Linked DNA regions of Mus musculus. The protein of the gene in region 1 interacts with the protein of each later gene in a pairwise test. Links are inferred from orthologs where the notes say so. Each region holds a gene or a part of one and is shown in the gene's direction. Other genes may lie near its edges.

What was found. The genes of interacting proteins can lie anywhere in the genome.
Region 2: the proteins of Vim (region 1) and Sirt6 interact in a two-hybrid assay, tested with the Homo sapiens proteins (2 studies listed by BioGRID and IntAct). The link is inferred for Mus musculus from reciprocal best matches to the Homo sapiens genes VIM and SIRT6.

What each region holds. Positions count from the first base shown.
Region 1 is NC_000068.7:13,579,264-13,583,982, forward strand, and holds the end of Vim (vimentin), read left to right. Parts: intron 1-157; coding exon 158-283; intron 284-754; coding exon 755-975; intron 976-1,376; coding exon 1,377-1,420; intron 1,421-2,349; coding exon 2,350-2,435; intron 2,436-3,209; coding exon 3,210-3,251; 3' UTR 3,252-3,563; downstream 3,564-4,719. UniProt on the Homo sapiens protein: Vimentins are class-III intermediate filaments found in various non-epithelial cells, especially mesenchymal cells. Vimentin is attached to the nucleus, endoplasmic reticulum, and mitochondria, either laterally or terminally.
Region 2 is NC_000076.6:81,623,938-81,629,663, reverse strand, and holds the start of Sirt6 (NAD-dependent protein deacetylase sirtuin-6), read left to right. Parts: upstream 1-2,126; coding exon 2,127-2,192; intron 2,193-2,341; exon of another isoform or gene 2,342-2,772; intron 2,773-3,046; coding exon 3,047-3,174; exon of another isoform or gene 3,175-3,236; intron 3,237-3,765; coding exon 3,766-3,948; intron 3,949-4,547; coding exon 4,548-4,607; intron 4,608-5,421; coding exon 5,422-5,517; intron 5,518-5,591; coding exon 5,592-5,672; intron 5,673-5,726. UniProt on the Homo sapiens protein: NAD-dependent protein deacetylase, deacylase and mono-ADP-ribosyltransferase that plays an essential role in DNA damage repair, telomere maintenance, metabolic homeostasis, inflammation, tumorigenesis and aging.

The sequences.
Region 1 (4,719 bases):
CCTCCTCTTCTTCTTCTTCTACTTCTTCTTCTTCTTCTTCTTCTTCTTCTTCTTCTTCTTCTTCTTCTTCTTCTTCTTCTTCTTCTTCTTCTTCTTCTTCTTCTTCGACTAAGCTCACAACCAAAAACAACCTCTATTTCTGATTCCTTCTTGACAGTTTGCTGACCTCTCTGAGGCTGCCAACCGGAACAACGATGCCCTGCGCCAGGCCAAGCAGGAGTCAAACGAGTACCGGAGACAGGTGCAGTCACTCACCTGTGAAGTGGATGCCCTTAAAGGCACTGTGAGTACTACAGCAGCAAAGGGGGGGAAATACCGTGCTCAGTACTATTCTGCTGACTAGGTTAACAATGAGACCTGTACAAATAAATTAAACACACACGGACACACACACACACACTTATCCAAAGAGAATGAATTATCAAGATAGTTTTAAGGATTATTTAATGAGTACCTTGAAAGTCTTAGTTTACATATGTTATTGATTGTAATAAGAGGGGTTTTAGAGGTTACTCCTGTAACCTCATCACTCTGGAGAATGAGGCAGGGGGATTATAAATTCACAGTTAAGCTAGGCTGCATGTAAAAGTGTTATTTCATCAAAGCAAAACATGGAACTGGGTGCTTGTGTTCTCTGTTCAAAGCTAGTGGGCACCTACCATTAAAAGAATTACTGTACCTTATTTATGAATATTTTGGGGGACAGCCGGGTTTTCTGGGAAATCACATGAGAAGCCATTTTTGCTTTCTGCAGAACGAGTCCCTGGAGCGCCAGATGCGTGAGATGGAAGAGAATTTTGCCCTTGAAGCTGCTAACTACCAGGACACTATTGGCCGCCTGCAGGATGAGATCCAAAACATGAAGGAAGAGATGGCTCGTCACCTTCGTGAATACCAAGATCTGCTCAATGTTAAGATGGCCCTGGACATTGAGATCGCCACCTACAGGAAGCTGCTGGAAGGCGAGGAGAGCAGGTATAGAAGGCAAACGTGCATGTGTGAACTAACTCACAGTCGTCTTTCTAGGAAGATCTCATTTAACCCAGACACCATATATATGAGGAACTTAACGTTGCAGAGAGTAACTTGCTGTGGTCAGAGATAATTAATAGCAGAGTAGATTTGAACTCACAGCCATGCAAAAGACAATACGTTCTCCCTCTATAAATTCTTCTGGTTCATGTTTCTGTGTGGAAAAAAATATCTTCCGAAATTTAAATGGGCCAATGAGACCAAGCATGGGTAGAAAGTTCTTAAACAAGTCACTAACAGCAATAGATTTTCATTTGGTGGAAACAAGAACTGCGAAAACTTGTTCCTGCTTCTTGAAGTGCTTTGTTCTCAAGTTTTTTGTGTGTTTCTTTCTCTTTTTATAGGATTTCTCTGCCTCTGCCAACCTTTTCTTCCCTGAACCTGAGAGGTAAGTACATTGTTTCATCTTATGGGAAAAAAATGTCACAAGGCTGTCACCAGTCACTCTGCCTGTAGCATAGCTTCCACATTTTTAAAAATATTTTTTATTACGTATTTTCCTCAATTACATTTCCAATGCTATCCCAAAAGTCCCCCATACCCTCCCCCCCACTCCTCTACCCACCCACTCCCACAGTAATTCTTGATTGAACTGTGCTTTTCCAAAGAAAATTCAATGAAACATGATTTCTCTTTTATAAATACATGTGTATAGCCATTTTATTTTCTGAATATTTCTTTTGGGCTTCTGAGGTTCTGATAGAGTTAAGTCACTTTCTCGCTTCCGTTTCTTCTCTCGAAACCTTCCATGTACTGCCCCCTGACATATATGGCTGTCTTTTCAGTTCATGGCTTCCTTTTGTTTAAATGCTGTTACACACACACACACACACACACACACACACACACACACACACACTGTGTATTCTTACATACATGAGTACAATGGCTCATTCTGTATAATATTACTTACATGTATGCTTTCAGGCTCGACCATCTGGTCCCTTTTTTATTATAGTTCTCATGACTGCTGGAGACCAAACCCAGGGCAATCAGCTAAGCTAAACCCACAGAGCTCCACCCCTAGCCTGATACCCTCAGTTTCAAACTCGAGTACATTCTTGCCTTTGCTACCCTGTTAAGTATAGACTCAGTCTACTTCCTGCTAATGGCAAAGTCAGTGAACTACTACCTCAGCCTGAATGAAGGAGCCCTTAGGTGCTGTGTACTCAAATGGATAGTGCTATGTAGGATTATGTATGAGTAGCACTTTAAATAACCATAAAAATAAAGTCATGATGCTTTGGGTAAAATGGTAATGTTTTAAACTTTTTCTTATGTTACTGCCTTTTTTTTTTTTTTTTTTTTTTAATTCAGAAACTAACCTGGAGTCACTTCCTCTGGTTGACACCCACTCAAAAAGAACACTCCTGATTAAGACGGTTGAGACCAGAGATGGACAGGTCAGTATTTTTTAGTTAAAATATGGGAAAGTTTAAAAGAAGGAATGATGAATAAACTATACAACCACTTTAAATATGTGTTGGTCCCCTTTAAGTCAGCAAGCAGATATATCAGATATGGCAGCTAACTTAAGGAGTCCCCGTGGATACTGGATGAATAGCCCCCAATTCCACCAATGCAAGAACCAACAGTCTATTTGGTCTTGATTAGGACAGTAAACTTCCTGCACACCATAGTCTGTGCACTAAACAGGAGTAAAACACCCTTAAGGCATCTCTTACATTGGCTGCATTAAAGTGTGTCACTTAATGACATCCGTGATATCAGGGATAGTTTGACATTGGACATACAGTTCTCTCTCAGTGATTGTCACCTGCTTATATAGTACGAGGACCCATATGTGGTCAATCACTTTCTTGTTGCCACTCCATGCCAGGGAAGACATAGTTACAATGAGTTATAATTATAAAAGCTCAGCCTTGCATGAGGATATAAAATACATTTGCCATACCTCTACATATGCCTTAGTTGCTTTTAAGCTTTGTTTGGAATTGCAAAGGCCAACTTCCTAAACACAGTTTCAAAGTATTCTTTTGTCACACCTTTCCACTGGATACTTGTATTGTCTGCAGGAAGAGGCCACCCTGCCTATGCTTCTCCTTAGGGCCTCGTTCTGCAGAGTCAGCATAAACTCCCAGTCTGCTCAACCAATTCTGTCTGATTAGGGCCATATCTCCTTACCATGAGTTGATTTTTGTTTCTTTTTTGAGCAGGTGATCAATGAGACTTCTCAGCATCACGATGACCTTGAATAAAAATTGCACACACTTGGTGCAACAGTGCAGTACCAGCAAGAAGGAAAAAAAAATCGTATCTTAGGAAAACAGCTTTCAAGTGCCTTTACTGCAGTTTTTCAGGAGCGCAAGATAGATTTGGAATAGAAAGAAGCTCAGCACTTAACAACTGACACCCCAAAAGACGTAGAAAAGGTTTACAAAATAATCTAGTTTACGAAGAAATCTTGTGCTAGAATACTTTTTAAAGTATTTTTGAATACCATTAAAACTGCTTTTTTCCAGTAAATATCTGACCAACTTGTTACTGCTTCAATAAATCTTCAAAAATACTGTTTTGGTGTGTTATTTTATAATATCTAAACAACTCTCTTTACTTCTATTGGTTAATTTGCAAAAATCATGTTTAGATTTTTGAGTTCAATTTATTTATGCTTGCGATATAGTTTTCACGTTAGCCTTTTAAGAGGGAGATCACTTCTTTTTCAATTGTTTATTGTTTTAATTTGATGTGGGTATATGACTTAGAGGCATGCTTACACACACAGGCCCTGGGTTCAACCTTTAGTAAATGAATACATGCATCTGCACATGCTTATGCACACACATGTGCACACCCACACAAAACTGATATAAAACTATGTGGTATTGGGGAAATGGCTCACTTGATAAAATGCTGCTTGTAAAATTATGAGGATTTGAGTTTGGACTCCTGAAATTCATGCAAAAAGAACATGGTGTTCACCTGCAATTCCAGCCCTGGGGAAGAAAAGAAACCAGGACCCCTGGGACTTACTGACCAGCCTGTTTAGACCATTTTCGAACTCTAGGAACAGTGAGAGACCCCCTTTTTTTATTAGATAATTTCTTTATTTACATTTAAAATGTTATCCCGTTTTTATTTACATTTAAATGTTAACCCGTTCCGGGTTTTCTCTCCAAAACTTCCGAACACCTCTCATTCCCCCTGCTCCCCAATCCACCCACCCCCACTTCCTGGCCCTGGCATTCCCCTACACTGGGGTATATAACTTTCACAGGACCAAGGGCCTCTCCTCCCAGTGATGACCAACTAGGCTATCCTCTGCTACATATGCAGCTAGAGCCGTGTGTCCCACCATGTGTTTTCTTTGGTTGATGGTTTAGACCCTGGGAGCTCTGGGGTTACTGGTTAGTTCATATTGTTGTTCCTCCTAGGGAGCTGCAAACCCCTTCAGTTCCTTGGGTACTTTCTCTAGCTCCTTCATTGGGGACCTTGTGCTCAGTCCAATGGATGGCTGTGAGCATCCACTTCTGTACTTGTGAGGCACTGGCAAAGACTCTCAGGAGACAACTATATCAGGCTCCTGTCAGCAAGAACTTGTTGGCATCCACAATAGTGTCTGGGTTTGGTGGTTGTGTATGGGATGAATCACCAGGTGGGGCAGTTTTTGGATGTTCCTTCCTTCATTTTCTGCTCCACACTTTGTCTCTGTAACTCTTGAGTTTT
Region 2 (5,726 bases), on another chromosome or scaffold:
GTGAGGGACAGGATGCTGGGGTGGTCAGCCACACTGTCCTCACAACACAGCCTGGGCAAATCTGCTGTGTGTCCAAGTTCAGGCTACTTGCACCCTCTGAAGGAACTGTCCTCAACTGTAAACAGAGATAATTCCTCCTTGTCCAGGCAGTCCCCTGAAGTGGGGCTGAGCGTGCATCACAACCAGCAGCACTAGTTCAGCAGCTCACACAGGCTGCAACCTGGAGTTTGTGCAATCATTGATGCCATAAACTCCCCACCACACAAACACTCTTCTCTGTGAAATTTCTATTCACAAAATCGCCTCTCTCCCACACAGAACTATCTACCTCCCCAAACGGAGCTTCCAAGTTCTCCCAAGCTGGGTCTCCTCCTGTACCTCTAACCTGGGTTCATATGTAATGGAGCTACAGGGGGAGACACACTGGAAAGTCAGTGTTTTGCAAGAAAGTCTGGTCAAAACTGTCACTATTTAGGGCAGTTCCACCCACCCATCCATCTACCCATCCACCCACCCATCCATCCATCCATCCACCCACCCATCTACCCACCCACCCATCCACCCACCCATCTACCCACTCACCCATCCACCCACCCACCTACCCACTCACCCATCCACCCACCCATCCACCCACCCATCTACCCACTCACCCATCCACCCACCCATCTACCCATCCATCCATCCATTCACTGATCCCACCTCCTCTACTAATCAGGTTCACTTTCACCCCACACCTACCACCAAGGGTGGGTGACAAAACACCCAAAAGAGTTGTCCACATGCTACCAGTCTGAAGGAAATCGCCACGGCAAGGTGGCAGGGAAGGCCTGTGGATTTAAGGGTTTGCCTTCTGAAGAGGTGACACAGCACAGGTGACGCTGCGCACTGGGCCTGGGCCTTGGCTCCCGCGTGGGATGTGTGCACCTGTCACAAGTGTGCAGATGCGTGTGTTCATACTGTTGCAGGTAGCACCCCTCACCAGCACCCAGACTTCCCTGGCCTCCCTCACCCACATCCCCCTACCTCAGGCGACTCCAGACCGGAACCCAGCGTCCAAGCAGCCTCTCTGGTTACCCGCTCCAGCTGCGAGCCACCAGCAGCAGAGTAGAGGTGACACCCGATCAGGTTGGGGTGGGGGAGCGGGGGACGGATGAGCCAAGGGAGGAGACAAGCTGCTGTTAGCCAGCTTGCTCAGATGGGCAGCCCCAAGGACGGCCTCTCCCACCTCCTTGTGTGCTCCTGCCTCCTCGAAGCCTTTCTTGGGGTCTCCACGGGGATCAGGAGGCTTCGGTTGTTATATGCTGCCATTGACCCATCACATGGCTCCTGTGTCTGTTGATTACCAACAGGCAGAATGGTCAGATAGTGCCTCCCATCTCTAGATGGCCACGGAAGCAGGGCTCTTCACCTCTCTCCTTGCATCTCTGGGCACCTCTGGGTAACACGTGGAACTCGCCCAGTTCTGTGGACCTAACCCTATGCTCTGTGATATTCCGGGAGGTGCACTCCAGAAACTAACCCAGGAAATGTTGGCAGGGGGCCCAGAGGTCTTTCCTCTGCCCAAGAACCCCAGTTTTCCATTCATTCTCTCCTGTAGCCAGAGTCAGGCAGACCCTGGATGACAGTCACAAAGGTTAGGGTATCATGTAGCCTAGCGTGGCTTCGAACTTTCTGTCCCCTCCTGCCAGTGCTATAAGCACTCCGGGCAGGGCTCTACACACTGAGAACTGTGGATTTTTGTTTTGCTTTGTTTGGTTTCATTTCTGGGTTTTGCTGATGTTGTCTCTTTTGAAACAGGGAGTTGGTCTGGGACTCGCAATCCCCCTGCCTCGACTCCTGTGAGTGGCCTCATCACTTTTCTGGCTCTGGTCGCGGATCCCAGGACTGGGGAATCCACTAAGTCAGAGAGGTAGTCTCGGCCAGCACTGAAGACTAAGCTTGCTGCATCAGGAGGGCGCATGCGCTCTGGAAAGAATGCTGTTTTTCACCTCCACGTACCCACCCCACCCTCAGGCACGTATCTAGGGAAGGCGGCTACTCTTTCCCGACCGTCCCTTCACCACTTCCGGCGGAAGCGGCCTCAACAAGGGAAACTTTATTGTTCCCGTGCGGCAGCGCCGGCGACGATGTCGGTGAATTATGCAGCAGGGTTGTCGCCTTACGCGGATAAGGGCAAGTGCGGGCTGCCCGAGGTGAGAGCTGCAGTGTTCGAGTCACCGAATGACCCCAGACGGGGAGCGGCCGGGCGAAGCGGGGCATTGTGGGAACAGCATGAAACATAGAGTCTAGACAATGGGAGGGACTTCCCTGGAAGGAGGGGGCGGGAAGTGACACCCACTGCTCAGGCTGGGTGACACGGAGGAACCTGGGTCAGGGAAGGAGTGAGGGGCTAATGGGAACGAGACCAAATCGTCAGGTCAGGGAGTGGACGTCTTAATTGTCAGGGAAAACCTGGAGCTGTGGGAAGATCTGCAGGGCCGGAAGCTGGCACCCTTTCCTGGGGGCATCCCTGTACCCCACTCTGTACTCCTCCCTGAATCTGGGCCAGATGGATCCTGAGTGTGGGGCTGTCAGTCTTTGTTGTTTCTGAAGGGGTGTAGTAGGGTGGAGGGTTCTCTCTTTGTAGCCCAGGCTGGCCCCGAACTCACAGGAATCTTCCTGCCTCTGCCTCCCGAGTACTGGTGTTAAAGGCCTGCGACACCATGCCCTGCCTGCCTCATGTTAACGGAGCCCCTAGACAAGTAGAGCTGCATCTTGATTTAGGGGAGAGAGGTGGGTTATCTAAAGTCCAGGATGGGGGATGACGTCAGTGGGGAGGTCACGTGGGCCACAACCAGACCAGGACAAAGGAGTGGCTGCCTGCAGGAACAGCACTCTGGGAAGAGGGCTCGGCATGTGCAAAGGCCCTGGGGTAGGACACAGCGATGTGTTAAGAGTGTGGCTGGAACTGAGGGATGTTGAGAAGGGGCAGACAGAGCATTGACCCACAGGAGGCCTGCCACTTGGGAGGTCACGTGTTGCCTCCTCCTGCCCTCTGACCCTACAGATCTTCGACCCACCAGAGGAGCTGGAACGCAAGGTGTGGGAGCTGGCCCGGCTAATGTGGCAGTCCTCCAGCGTGGTTTTCCACACGGGCGCCGGCATCAGCACCGCCTCTGGCATCCCCGACTTCAGGTCGGTGAACAATGAGGGGAAACTGAGGCAGGGCTCTTGCTGATACACCTCTAGGGACTAAGGTGAGGTGGCAGAAGGACCTTTCAGTTTTCCTATGTCTCTGAAAGGCCCAGCAAAAACTCCACTTGCCCAAGGATCAGAGCATGCCCACATAATGTAGTAGCTGCAAGGCATGCTGGGAAATGTATTCATGCAGCTCGGCCAGCCACTGGGTTTTCTAGGGTCAGAATGACTCAATGTTGTGGAGTGACTAGCTCACCCATAACCTTCGGTGGCAGCCTATGACCACTGTAAAGCATTCTGGGAACCCGCAGCCGGTCTTAACCAGTACTCAGCCCCAGCTCCACTAGCTCCCCTGCCTTTGTTTACCCCCAGACCCTCAGCCCCTCCGCCTCTTTCATGAAGACGTCCCATGCTCTTTAGAATTCTTGCCTACCCGGCAGTCATTGTCTCCACCACAGGATACAGAACCACCCTAAGAACGGGGCTGGGGCCAGCATGGGCTGACTTCAGCATTAACAGGAAGAGCCCACAGCCTGGAAAATGAATGTTTGACCTCTGTGCCTGTCCTCCTCTGCTTGCTATCCTCAGAGGCCCCCATGGCGTGTGGACCATGGAGGAACGCGGCCTGGCCCCCAAGTTTGACACCACCTTCGAGAATGCTCGGCCCTCGAAGACCCACATGGCCCTGGTTCAGCTAGAACGCATGGGCTTCCTCAGCTTCCTGGTCAGCCAGAACGTAGACGGGCTGCACGTGCGCTCGGGCTTCCCCAGGTCCGATGAGTCGGCCGGGGGGCTGGGGCTCAATTGCATCTCTTCCTCCTTATTGGACCAGGGTGCCCTAGCTCAGGGGCATTTATTAGGGATGCAAAGAGGGGGAAGGCTCGGAGCCCAAAGCCGGGCAGTACTTGGTCAAATTGGGGGGATGTAGGCAGGGTTCCACCCCTCACTGGGGTGGGGTGGGGAGGTTGGCAGGGGCTTTAGGGCCAACTGACTGTTGCGGCAGAGGGCGAGTACATGACAGAATTTCTCCATGTCTTGGCTACCCTGGGACTTGCCCTGTAGATCAGGCTCACAGAGATCCACTTGCCTCTGCCTCCCAATGGAGGGATTAAAGGGGTGTGCCGCGGCTAGCCAACAGGTTTTTTGTAGTGGGGAGGAGGTATTTGTGAGTTTGTGAAGACACCGTCAGACAGCTATGCATGCAACAGTTCCTCAGAATGGGACAGGCTGGGACATCCTCCAGGAAAGAGAAGTGGACGCCCCTTGTGAGTGAGCCCCCTAGGAAGGCTTTCTGGAGGAGGAGGCAGACTGAGCAGCTGGTCCAAGCCCCAGGATCTGGGAAGGGTCCTTACTGGCATCTTCTTCTGCAGGGACAAGCTGGCAGAGCTGCACGGAAACATGTTTGTAGAGGAATGTCCCAAGTGTAAGACGTGAGTGTTGCCCGTGTAACACAAGACCCTGCTCCTCCCCTAAGCCAGCTCAGGGTCCTAGCATGGCCTAGAGAAGGCCAGAGACAGTCAGATGAAAACAGACCAACAAAGGCTCGTAGACAAATGGGGCAAACCCTTTCTTCACAGCCCCCCAAGGGAGAAGCTGGTCATGCCCTTGGCAATGAGGGGTTCTCCCTGCCCTGCCTTTGCTATGGCTCTGGGCTGGGTGTCAACATGGCTTGCACACCAGAGCCTCGGGGTGTTGAGCAGGACTGTGCCTCCTGAGCTTTGGCCCCTGACTCCCTCTTAGGGGTTCTTTATTCAGACAGGACTTCATTAAAGTTGCCCAGGTTATCCTGAAATTTGGCATCCTCCTGCCTCAGCTTCCTGCGTGCTGAGCTCACAGGTGCGAGCCATCATGTTTCCCTTAGCCTCCTCCCTCCCGCACCCTCCCTTGTGTGGATGCCAGCGGCTGACACTGGCTCAGCCCCCTCTGCTTGTGTTTTGAGGCAGACTTGCTCTCAGAACCTGTACCTCTTTGGTTTAGCTGAGTGGCCAGTGAACTCCTGGGGTCCCCAGCTCAGCCTCCCAAGCTCTGGGGCGACAATCCTGCTCCACCATGCTCTTCGTTTTCCATGGATGACTCAAACACAGAGCCCGGAGTCTGCTTGCCAGGCACTTTCAGACTGAGTAGTCTGTCTGTCTATCCCTCGGTTGTTTGTCCTGCTCAGTAGCCCATGGGTTGAGCCTGGCTACACCACCCCCCAGCTGAGAGAACATTAGAAAATGTGTGTGCACCCTTCCCCCTTTACAGGCAGTACGTCAGAGACACGGTTGTGGGCACCATGGGCCTCAAGGCCACAGGCCGGCTCTGCACCGTGGCCAAGACCAGGGGACTTCGGGCCTGTAGGTAGGTGACTTTCCTCACACCCTCCACCTGTGAGGAGGTGGGCGCCCCCTGACTCCATTCCCTGACTGCCACAGAGGGGAGCTGAGAGACACCATTCTGGACTGGGAGGACTCGTTGCCTGACCGGGACCTGATGCTCGCTGATGAGGCCAGCAGGTGGGACCCCACACTCCCCAGGTGGAAATGGGTGGGGATGGCTACGCAGACCTC